Linked DNA regions of Danio rerio. The protein of the gene in region 1 purifies or fractionates together with the protein of each later gene. This does not show direct contact. Links are inferred from orthologs where the notes say so. Each region holds a gene or a part of one and is shown in the gene's direction. Other genes may lie near its edges. The genes, in order: cct5, ddb2 and gnb1b.

Region 1 (3,742 bases):
ACCTCTGTATTTACATTTTGTGATTGTGAGAAGTTCTTTTAGTTTATTACACGTATGTACTGTATGATATAATGAAACAATTTACTTTAAATATGACCTAATCTGTGTACGTTTGTAATGTAAAAAGAATCATTATAATATACAGGTGCAAACGGAAATCAAGCAACCCTGATCATGTGAATGTTGCATAAGTTTTATAAGAGATATCCAAAAAGATATCAAAACAAGCTGTAGCTTCACCAAGTCTAACTTTAAAGTCATGTAGACCTCACAAAGACACTTCAAAAACAAATGTCGGTCACAAATGTAAAACGTAAATGATGGAGAGAGAAAAAAGTCACCTTGCTTTTGCAAATAACAACACAAACAGCCTCTTCGGTCATGTAACATACTGAAATCCACACTGGTGTGCTGTCAGAAGCATGAACGGGAGGAACAGGTAATCGGAAATTACGTTACCAACGACGAGCACATGGCCTTTCTCAAATACACAAGTTGTACGTGTGCACATACACAAATCAATTTTGTAACGTCTATTTGTTAGTCAATCTGCATGAATTATAAATCTGTACCCGCACTCGCGTTATTTGTTGTCGTTATCGCGAGAATGGAATAAACCATTAATATGCTTCAATTTAAAAAAATTATTTAAAGATTCGTTAATTGCTTTTTCTCCTTCATAATTGTCTTAAATGTTTAATATTGTTATTTAATTAGGGATTAAATGGTAATGTAATGTACAAAAATGTGGATGTTTTAACATTGTCAACTTGGTTTGGTCCGTCCCTCCCCGAGATTCTTCCAGAACTAGCCGGCAGATCCGCGCGGTGAGGTGCGCAGCTAGAGGATTAAATTCTCTAGTATAACATCACTTTTCATAACTGTGCATTTCTTTGGGGTGGAAATTAAACATGTCCGCGCTTGGGACTCTCGCCTTCGATGAATATGGAAGGCCTTTCATCATCATAAAGGACCAGGACAAGAAATCTCGCTTGACTGGCCTGGAAGCACTGAAGGTAACGTTACAAAAGCTAACGGGCTAATGGGCTATAACGGAGATTTTAATCATATCTGTAATCCAGAATACCGCATTTACTGTATACTGTAGATTGATTCTTTATGAAAACGTACTTCTGCAGTCTGACATGTTAAGAATGCATTCAGTTATTGCACATTTATTTGTCTAACGTGATCAACAATGTGCGCATGTCAAGGGATGGTCCATGTGCTTCCTCTAGTCTAGTCTAAAGACGTCGAGTCATAATGCGCAATGCCTTCATTCATTCATCAGACATGTCTTCATCACATTTTATTTGTGGCAATATACTTCAGTTGAATGTTGTTAATAAATAAGTAATGATGATAGCTATCACTCTACTTCCCCCAATTGTTTGATTGCATAAAGAATTGCAAAAAGCCAAACTTTTCTAAACGGACAGGTGCATGTTTTTGTTGTGTTTTTTGGGGGCTTGCAGTGTCTTGCCTTGTTTTATAATGATAGTTTCAGTTCTATTATTTGACAAAAATCCTATAAAGAGGATTGGGTTGTTATTTGAGACACGCCTTACTAACAAATTTTTAGTTTATATATACATACATACATATACATTAAATTTATATAAGATATTCTACCAGAAATGCACATTATCTTTCCCTTAAAACCGTAAATTGCCATTCTTGCCTACCCATTTGAGCCTCCCAAGCCCAAAACCAAGCATAAGCTTGGCGTGGCATCTACTGACATCAATGTTATTTCTGTTCTCTTCAGTCTCACATTCTTGCAGCAAAAGCAGTTGCTAACACCCTGAGAACATCGCTAGGTCCAAATGGTATGTTTTTAATTTTGCATGTACTCTTCCTAGTTTATTTCATGCTGTTTTTTTTAATGCTGGTAAATGTTCTTTACAGGACTTGACAAGATGATGGTGGATAAGGATGGTGAGGTGACCGTGACCAATGATGGTGCGACGATCCTCAGCATGATGGATGTGGACCATCAGATTGCCAAGCTCATGGTTGAGCTCTCCAAGTCTCAAGATGATGAAATTGGAGATGGAACCACTGGTGTTGTTGGTGAGCTTAGCTTGATATTCTTCTTCTCCCCTTTTAAAACACAACCACAACACTAGCAAGAGCATTTTCTTTCTGTCTTTGTTTAAATGCATTGATTTGCTCGTATATAAACATGGATAAATGTACAGCCTTACAAATACATTGAAATGCACATTAGAAAAAATTTAAAAATCCTCTTTTCCAAGCTGTGTGTACATTTTATGTGCCATTACAAAAATGAGCATGTGTGCATACTGTTCTGGAGATGATATGCTATGGGAAATGACCCAGCTTATACAAAATCTAATAATAAAAGGTCCTTTTACAGATCTAAGTATGATATATATGCTTTACTTTAATATGATATATGGATGCTATTTACAATATTTATACTTTATGTACAATATACAGCTGAAGTCAGAATTATTAGTTCCCCTGAATTATTAGCCCCCCTGTTTATTTTTTTGCCCAATTTTTGTTTAACAGAGATAAAATTTCTAACACCACAATTTCTAACAAATCTCTAACACATTTCTAAACAATAGTTTTAATAACTCAATTCTAATAACGGATTTATTTTATCTTTGCCATGATGACAGTAAATAATATTATACTAGATATTTTTCAAGACACTTCTGTACAGCTTAAAGTGACATTTAAATGCTTAACTTGGTTAATTAGGTTAACTAGGCAGGTTAGGGTAATTAAGCAAGTTAGTGTATAATGATGGTTTGTTCTGTAGAGTATTAAAACAAAATATAGCTTTAAGGGGCTAATAATATTGACCTTAAAATATTTTTTTTTTAATTAAAAACTGTTTTTATCCTAGCCGAAATAAATCAAACATGACTTTCTCCAAAAGAAAAAAATATCAAACACTGAAAATTTCCTTGCTCTGTTCATCATTTAGTAAATAGAAAAAAAAAAGAAAAATTCAAAGGGGGGCTAATGATTCTGACTTCATATCTGAATATTATAGTAAAGCATATACAGTTAATCATTTCTTGTCAGGCTTCTAAAACTGCTAAACATTTTTCTAGACTGGACACTTTAATGGGGGAAAATGTTCTAAGATATAAATGTCACCCTAATTATTTTTTAATGAATTATTCTTACTTGTTTTGTGTTTACTCGTTATAGCATGAAGGACTTTAGTAATTAAATTAGTACAAGGCTAAATTGAATGTATAAGTAGGTGTATGTAGGTTTATACGCAAGACGTACTGTTTTGCTGTTTGAATTAAATTGTCAAGTAATTGATAAAAACCACTGGTGAAATAATATTGTAATCTTACTCCATATAGTGGAGAATGAAAAAATCATATTTAATGTTTTGTTTTCTCTTATTGCTGCATGTAGTTGTCAATATGTAATATGTTACTTTTATTACTGTTACTGATGTGACAAGAAATAAATCTTAAATAATGGTAAAAAAAAAAAAATAAAAACAATAAAATTGAGCAGGGTACATTTAAATGTAGAGAGAAAGAACAATTTAAAGCTGTATCACACTTTTACTATTGTAATGCTTGACATGTTGATTTCATGCAGGCCTACCTGTAGGCTATAGTTCATATTCCTAAATGTAAAAAGTGTTTATGTACTATGTTTGTCCGCTTGTTAAGTGTGACTTTACGTGAAGCGGCTTTACTTTCACGTGATTTTTTACTTTAAAAAAAAATCTAAATCG
Region 2 (3,659 bases), on another chromosome or scaffold:
AGTAAAAATTAATTATAAGATTGATCCTATCCATGTCATAACGAATGCCCTCAAATAATGTAGTTATTAGTTGTCAGCAATCTTCAATGTTTATTGAGATTGAAATAAAAACATTGAAATTGAGATTAAAAGAAAAATAGTTATAGACACACTTGTGACTGCTTTTAGACAAAACGCTCAATGTAGACAACAAGGAATGACTGATCATGAAGGAACATGTAGTCTGGTCACCCACCACAAGTCAAGATTTTATCAAGAAAAATTATCACATAATCTGACATAGTAACTATAATATCCGAAGATAAAAATTGTGTGATCTGACATGGCCTGAAGATGTTATACTAAAATACATTTTGTACAAGGCCTAATAATTTATAGGATGGTGGCAAAATAAAATATTTAAAATGCAAATGAAATTAGTATTTTGATGCTGTAACTTAGTATTTTGGATCCATAAAAGTCTTAATATGTCATCAAATTATTCTATTTTTCTAAATATCCCTGATAAGATTTTTGGTTGTAAAGATAAACTATTGTTACTTTTAATGGCAACATGCACGTTATTTATTAAGATAATTCTTTGTGCTCTTATTTATTTGATTATTTATATTGTTTCATGTTTATGGGGGGACAGGGACATTTTAAGGTTTTTATTACTATTGTGTAGAGCAGTGTTTCCCTACCCTGTTCCTGGAGGCCCACCAACAGTACATATTTTGGATGTCTCCCTTATCTGACCCATTAACCTCAGGTTTTGGAGTCTCTTCTAATGTTCTGATGAGTTGATTCAGGTGTGTTTGATTAGAAAGAGGTTAAAATGGGTACTTTTGGTGTGCCTTAAGGAACAGGGTTGGGAAACACAGCTGTTGAGAGTTGATTTATATTTTTCAATTATTTTAATTTTTTTGCCCAAAAATATATTTAGATTTTCAAAGAGAAGCTGCACAAAGCCAAAGTGACCCATGCCGAATTCAACCCTCGCTGTGATTGGCTGATGGCAACATCCTCTGTTGATGCTACAGTCAAGCTGTGGGACCTCCGGAATATTAAAGACAAAAACAGTTACATCGCTGAGATGCCTCATGAAAAACCAGTCAATGCTGGTAAGGGACCATATTATCAGAAAAGTGAGGAAAGGAGAAAGTCACCTGTACAGTAGCTTTAAATACTAATACATTCAAATGAACTATTTTTGTCAGCATACTTCAACCCGACAGACAGCACCAAGTTGCTTACTACTGATCAGAGGAATGAGATCAGGGTGTACAGTTCATACGACTGGTCTAAACCGGATCAAATAATTATTCATCCTCATCGGCAGTTTCAGCACTTGACTCCCATCAAGGTTAGAAATTTAATGCATTTCTTTCTTTACAGGACTGCTGACATCATGGTTATACTTTGCTCCATTTTTCTATTTTTTCAGGCAACCTGGCATCCCATGTATGACCTCATTGTGGCTGGCCGTTACCCAGATGATCAACTATTACTCAATGATAAAAGAACTATTGACATTTATGATGCCAACAGTGGTGGACTTGTGCACCAGCTGAGAGACCCCAATGCAGCTGGTATCATATCTGTAAGCATGCTGTTGTTTTTTTTAACTATTTATACTATACCATGCTACCACTCAAATGTTGGAATCTTTAATGTAATTGTTTAATGGTTGAAATTAATATAATAATAAATTTGCCAAATGATGTTTAACAGAGCCAGGAAATGTTCACAGTATGTCTGATAATATTTTTTCTTCTGAAGAAAGTTTTATTTTGACTAGAATAAATGCATTTTAATTTTTTTAAAGCAATTTTAAGGTCAAAATTATTAGCCCCTTTAAGCTATACATTTTTTACATTTTCAATTTACAATAACTTTCCTAATTACCCTAACCTGCCTAGTAAACCTAATTACCCTAGTTAAGCCTTTAAATGTCACTTTAAGTTGTTTAAAAGTGTCTTGAAAAATATCTAGTCAAATATTATTTACTGTCATCATGGCAAAGATAATATAGATAATAAGATAATAAATCAGTGATTAGAAATGAGTAATTAAAACTATTGTTTAGAAATGCGTAAAAAAAATGTCTGTTTATTCTCCGTTAAACAGAAATTGGGGAAAATAATAAACGGGGACTAATCATTCTAACTTCAACTATATGTATACTGAGTGTGTTCTTCAAGGTGTCTGCGCGCTTCACGGTTCATTTACAAAATATGTCCACGTCTATGATTCGCAGAGAACAACAGCCAATCACATTGCTTTTCCAGGGTTGCGTAAACCCGATTGGCTAGCATCTGCTCTAGGGTATTTGCATGGAGCGATCTAACTGGCATCTGTTTGATGATTTAACGTTCAAGTGAATCTTTGATGTTGGCATAAGAACATTTTAAAAATGACTTTTAATTATCTGAAGGCAGTTTAATTCTGTGAACCATCTTTATGTGTAAAGCTACATTCAGATATGTTCAGTGTAAAGCTACGTTCAGGTCAAAAAACATGTGATCTGCACAGTTTTGTTTATTTTCTTTCAAGTAACCGTATAATACAACTTAGAATACAGTAAAAGATAACAGTTCTTTTACACAATATTCACATTGGATAAACAGGATTAAGAGCAAAGCCAAAAAAATTACATAAAAAAACATGCAACTTGCAATATGCAATATAATGCAATTATTATAATGCAATATAAAAACATAAAAAATTGAAGTAGCATGAAAGATCTCATCATATTTACTCGAGACAGAATCACATTTCTTATTATCAATTAATCTAAGTGATTTCATTAAATGTTCTATTTCACATAAGAAGTCTATAAAAATGTGATTAAAAAAAACTCTGTTTGTGGAAATAAAATTTTCCAGCAAGTATAAGAAAGTTTACCGTGGCTTCTAACAACTTGTTTTGGTTTTCAAAATAACAAATAACCGTTAAGGTGAAAATTACCACTCATATTAACATTGGAAAAGCAATATGCACCTAAATCATTCCAAAACAATGATGATACATTGCATAAAAGAAACAAGTGACAAATGTCTTCATACAAAAAGTGCAAATCTCAGTAACAACACAATATTAGAATAAAAGTGCATTACATGGGTAAATATTGTGCAAAAGTTTTATTCTGCACCTCTTTTATTTTATTAGGAATACAGAATTTATATGGCTATAATAACCATGTTTGTCCATTGAATGTTAACAATCATAGAACCCCAAAAACTTTCCTCTAGGTGTAATTGAGTTTTGTGACTGGGACAATTGATGTACAAACTTATTGCATTCTTTACTAAGAATAGATTTTCCTCTTAGGCAGAACTGTGACAATAGTTTGGAACCTGTCTCATAACTACGAGCTGATTTCATCAGACATAGTAATCCACTAAGCCGACAAGACAATGAATGAATATCTCAATGTCTGCATTATTCCATAAAATGGTTTTGTGGGATGAGAAATTGGGATTGTAAATCAGTTTCCAGGCTAAAGCTGCAGTCACACTGGACTTTCTCCACAGACTTACATTCATACGCACACGAATGCATCACACCGGAAATGCAAGCTTGTGCAACACATTTCGCAGTTTGCTGCGTTGCAAAGTTCAAGCTTTGTAAACTCTAACCTGCGAAATCGCATCACTTGACTGCGTAAGACCAATAGA
Region 3 (3,759 bases), on another chromosome or scaffold:
TTGTAAAATCTGACCAGAGTTTTGGGGGAAAAGAATGAAGGGAATGCTTGTTTCCATTTAACCATTGCTATTAGAGGAACACTTTTATCTGCAGTCAGGATTTTCCTGATATAATTGTTATTCAGTTTTTTATCCATGATAGAGAGGCCCTTAATAGTAAGCTCTGGAAGAGAGCCAGATACATGGTTATATATTTTTGTGGTTTTAATAAGGTACATTTATTTTAGGGAGATACAATGAACACATTTTTTTTTGTATTTATTCAAAGTATTTTTTTAAACCAAAAGTGTTAATAAATTCACTGTAATTATATAAGTCCCCTACACGATTTCTCAAAACAACATTAGCACTATTAACATCAACACTGTTGGACTACTTTGATAGTCATTGGCTGCGAATATGATTTAACTATTCAGAATTAGCAAACAATACTTTTCTCAAATGATTTTGTTAATATAATTATTATTATAAATCTCTAAATTTGCACTTGTGCCTATATCAAAATCTCACTTCAAACAAAGTACAGCTAAACCTATAGAGAAAAACCTGTTCTGTAGTAAATTGTGACAAAGCCTCGGTCTTCTCCATAAAGTCTTTGCTCAGGTTAATCTATTAATGGAATATGGGTTGTATAATATTTTTAAAAACGTTAAGCATTTTAAAAAGTACATCAGTGTATTCAAATCTTGCTAAATTGGCTTGGAAATGTTTCTGTCAATTCCATTCCTGCGTAAGAGCGCCGCTCGCCCGTGCGCTGCGGCGTGGGGTTTCCCAGGGCAGACTGCAGGGTTACCGCGCCCATCTCCGTCTGATGGCCGGATGAGAGGTGAACTGAACTGGAGAGAAGTGTTCCTTCAAGGAAGGCAACGGGAAGTGGCCACCGACGGACTTATTAGCTGACCAAAGTCTCCAATCGGACATTTATGAGTGCAGCTTTTCCTCGCAGTTGAGATCCCCCCTCGTACAGGCTCATTTCCCGCCCGCCGGAGCGAGTTTTGTCGCTGTGGAAGTGGACTCGGTACTTCTCCCGCTGCTAGTTAGCGAGCTAGCTCGTCTTGTTCGTTGATGCGTGGATTTGACAGCCACACCATCGTTTTTTTCGGTCAATGCCATATAAACAAAGGCCATTTACGACTGAGAACAGGTATGGAACACTATGTGCTTATTTCAAGTGTGTGGAACTGAATGTTTCGTTCTAATCGGGTGAATTTGTTGGATAAAATGCTGGTCACCATAGAGAATGAAGGGGGGTGGGGTGAGGCGCAGGTAGCGGCTAGCCGAGCGATTTACATACACAACAGTGGCAGGCAAATATGCGAAAAACGGTTGTTTTAAACAGTTATCATCGTGTGTGTTTTATTAATGTGAATTTATAGTGCATTTAATCTCTCGCTCGGTCATTATGGCGTGAACTGAGTCGGCCGACTTAACCGGAGGCCGTTTAGTGCGAGTTCGCTTGTTAGCACCCAAAAATCGGCGTTACTTCAGAATTAAACCAATTTAGGTTTGGGGGAATTCAGTAATGTGCTTGATAGGGGCATTTTAATAGCAATTAAGATTGCTTTAAATGTTAAGTTTGGGGGGTTTTGGTTGGAGGCTGGTCTGTAAGCTAACAGGCTAATTACCGGAGCTTCTGCTGGCAAAATATTCGGCTTTTCAGCTCAGCTAGGCCTTCCTCTGTGTTACAGAATCGAGGATTTTTGGTTAGGCAAATGCTGGTTTACACACTCTCGTGTACTACAAGTGAATATTGATCGAAATGCAGTCGGTAAATAAAGATTAGCCATTTATTTGTTCACCCGATCGTCTATTGCAATCTACACCATCTGGCTGTATATTACAAGCCGTCCTAGTGTGTTTTCCCCTACACACATTTACATGGAGATGGATTTATTACGAGTCAGAATGGCGTAATCCGAAATCCCGTGTGCATTTAAGCGACTTAGCTCGTGTTAATGTTTATTGCGTTAAGTGTGCGCTGCTTCTTTTAACTACTCTTTTAAACAACCTAATTGGATTTCATTAAGCCTGTGTTTAAAGGGCCTTTGCTGTTCAGGTATATAGGTGCACTGCCTCTCTTCGCGACATCTCGGTGATGCTCCGCTACGATTCTCGCTGAATTGCTTTTGCTGACGATAAAGAATAAAAGACCTGCTAGATGTGTTTTCTCCTGCGATCGTGTATCAGAGTAATGCAGCAAAGAGCTTTGCAGTTCTTCAGATACGCGAAATGAATGGAGCCGGATGGCCTTTATCATCGCTGCTGGAATATTTTAAGAACGGGCTAGCGGCTCAGTATTGAGGTCACTATTAAGGGATTGGTCGGGGAAATATAGGCTATGGGATAAATATGTTGCGCCCCCTCCTTCTTTTTTCCCCTACCGATCGAGTTTGCCTTTCTCTTCGCTGGCATTTAGATAAAGGAACACCGTTCATGAATAAATAAACGGAATCAATGAATTCTTCAATGTGGGGCCCAAGAACAAGATGGCGTCCGTAGCCTCTCTCTCCGGCTTCCCTCTCCGCACTCATATCAGCATGCCGTTCATTTAACCCGCTGAAACGCCGAAAAAAGCACCGTTTTGCTCTTAAACGAAGCTCGTTGTTTTAAAAACGATTCCAGGAACATATTTTGAAGCTAGAGTTTATCGTTTTTTTTTAAATAAAATGCTCTTTGTGTGGCACCTAAAGCTGCATAACCTCATCCTTTATGACGCGAAATGCAATTGTGAAATATCAAATAGTGTTTCGAGTCCACCGTGACGTGATCGTTCACATTTTGTTGATTTCAACTTGTGCTTCTGGTGCTATAAATGTAGACATTTCTTTGCAGTCATGCACATAAGCTCTCACAATACCCTTTTGTGTTTAGATAATGCACTTTTGTTTGATTTTATTTTAAAACAAAAGCATAATGGATGATTCATTGCATACATTGTTGTTTTTAACTCCCTCCCAGACATCCTGCTTTTTATGCACCTAAGTTGGTTCTTTGCTTATCATGTTTATTATAGTCATTGTTCATGTTTTACTCGGCAGTGTTACATTTGCTGAAGCATTACTTGTAATCCATTTGCATTATACATTGTGCAATCTGCATTGATACACATGCAGTTTTGTAATTGTGGATAACTAAAAGCATCAGATTGATTCGCAGTGGGCACCTCAGAAGCTGATATGTGTATAATTATGATGGAATAATTGAAATCTATTCAGATAATGTAATTCTGAATATCTATTTTGATTTTCAAACTAACGCCCATTTGTTTTCGCAGGTGTTTTAATGCAAGCATGTTGAGATTTGAGCATTTCCATGTAAATGTCAGCCTTGTCATGAAAAAACTAAGCTTCAACCAAAATAACGAAACTGTTTCTACATTTTTGGTGTTGGCAAATACTTTGCAGTGCTTACACTACTCAAAAATCTCTCTGTCAATGTTTTCAAACTATTATATTTGATTTAGCAAAGTCACACAAGTGGCAATTTCACATCTGCCACATCCATAACTTTCATCTCATAAATGCAAAAATCTAAGGTAAAATAAGTCATGTTTGCTCTGTAGAGGAACAACTCTTATCCTTTTAATTAGCATTGTTTCTTTTGGGTTGCTTTGTTTAATTCATAGAATTTCTATAAAGTATGTTGTATACTGCAAACTTGCAGACTTTTTTTTTCATCATCCATAATGCATGTTTACTTTCTTTATTTAAAATCTAAAATATGTTTACAGAGATTTTTTTCTGATCCCATAACTCTGTG

The links.
Region 2: the proteins of cct5 (region 1) and ddb2 purify together in Homo sapiens (co-immunoprecipitation; 3 studies listed by BioGRID and IntAct, with this or other methods). This does not show direct contact. The link is inferred for Danio rerio from reciprocal best matches to the Homo sapiens genes CCT5 and DDB2.
Region 3: the proteins of cct5 (region 1) and gnb1b purify together in Homo sapiens (co-immunoprecipitation; 3 studies listed by BioGRID and IntAct, with this or other methods). This does not show direct contact. The link is inferred for Danio rerio from reciprocal best matches to the Homo sapiens genes CCT5 and GNB1.

The regions. Positions count from the first base shown.
Region 1 is NC_133199.1:20,773,953-20,777,694, forward strand, and holds the start of cct5 (T-complex protein 1 subunit epsilon), read left to right. Parts: upstream 1-797; 5' UTR 798-911; coding exon 912-1,016; intron 1,017-1,768; coding exon 1,769-1,829; intron 1,830-1,908; coding exon 1,909-2,073; intron 2,074-3,742. UniProt on the Homo sapiens protein: Component of the chaperonin-containing T-complex (TRiC), a molecular chaperone complex that assists the folding of actin, tubulin and other proteins upon ATP hydrolysis.
Region 2 is NC_133193.1:21,863,213-21,866,871, forward strand, and holds part of ddb2 (DNA damage-binding protein 2), read left to right. Parts: intron 1-925; coding exon 926-1,103; intron 1,104-1,199; coding exon of another isoform or gene 1,200-1,217; coding exon 1,218-1,345; intron 1,346-1,426; coding exon 1,427-1,582; intron 1,583-3,659.
Region 3 is NC_133181.1:56,064,955-56,068,713, reverse strand, and holds the start of gnb1b (guanine nucleotide binding protein (G protein), beta polypeptide 1b), read left to right. Parts: upstream 1-865; 5' UTR 866-1,144; intron 1,145-3,759. UniProt on the Homo sapiens protein: Guanine nucleotide-binding proteins (G proteins) are involved as a modulator or transducer in various transmembrane signaling systems.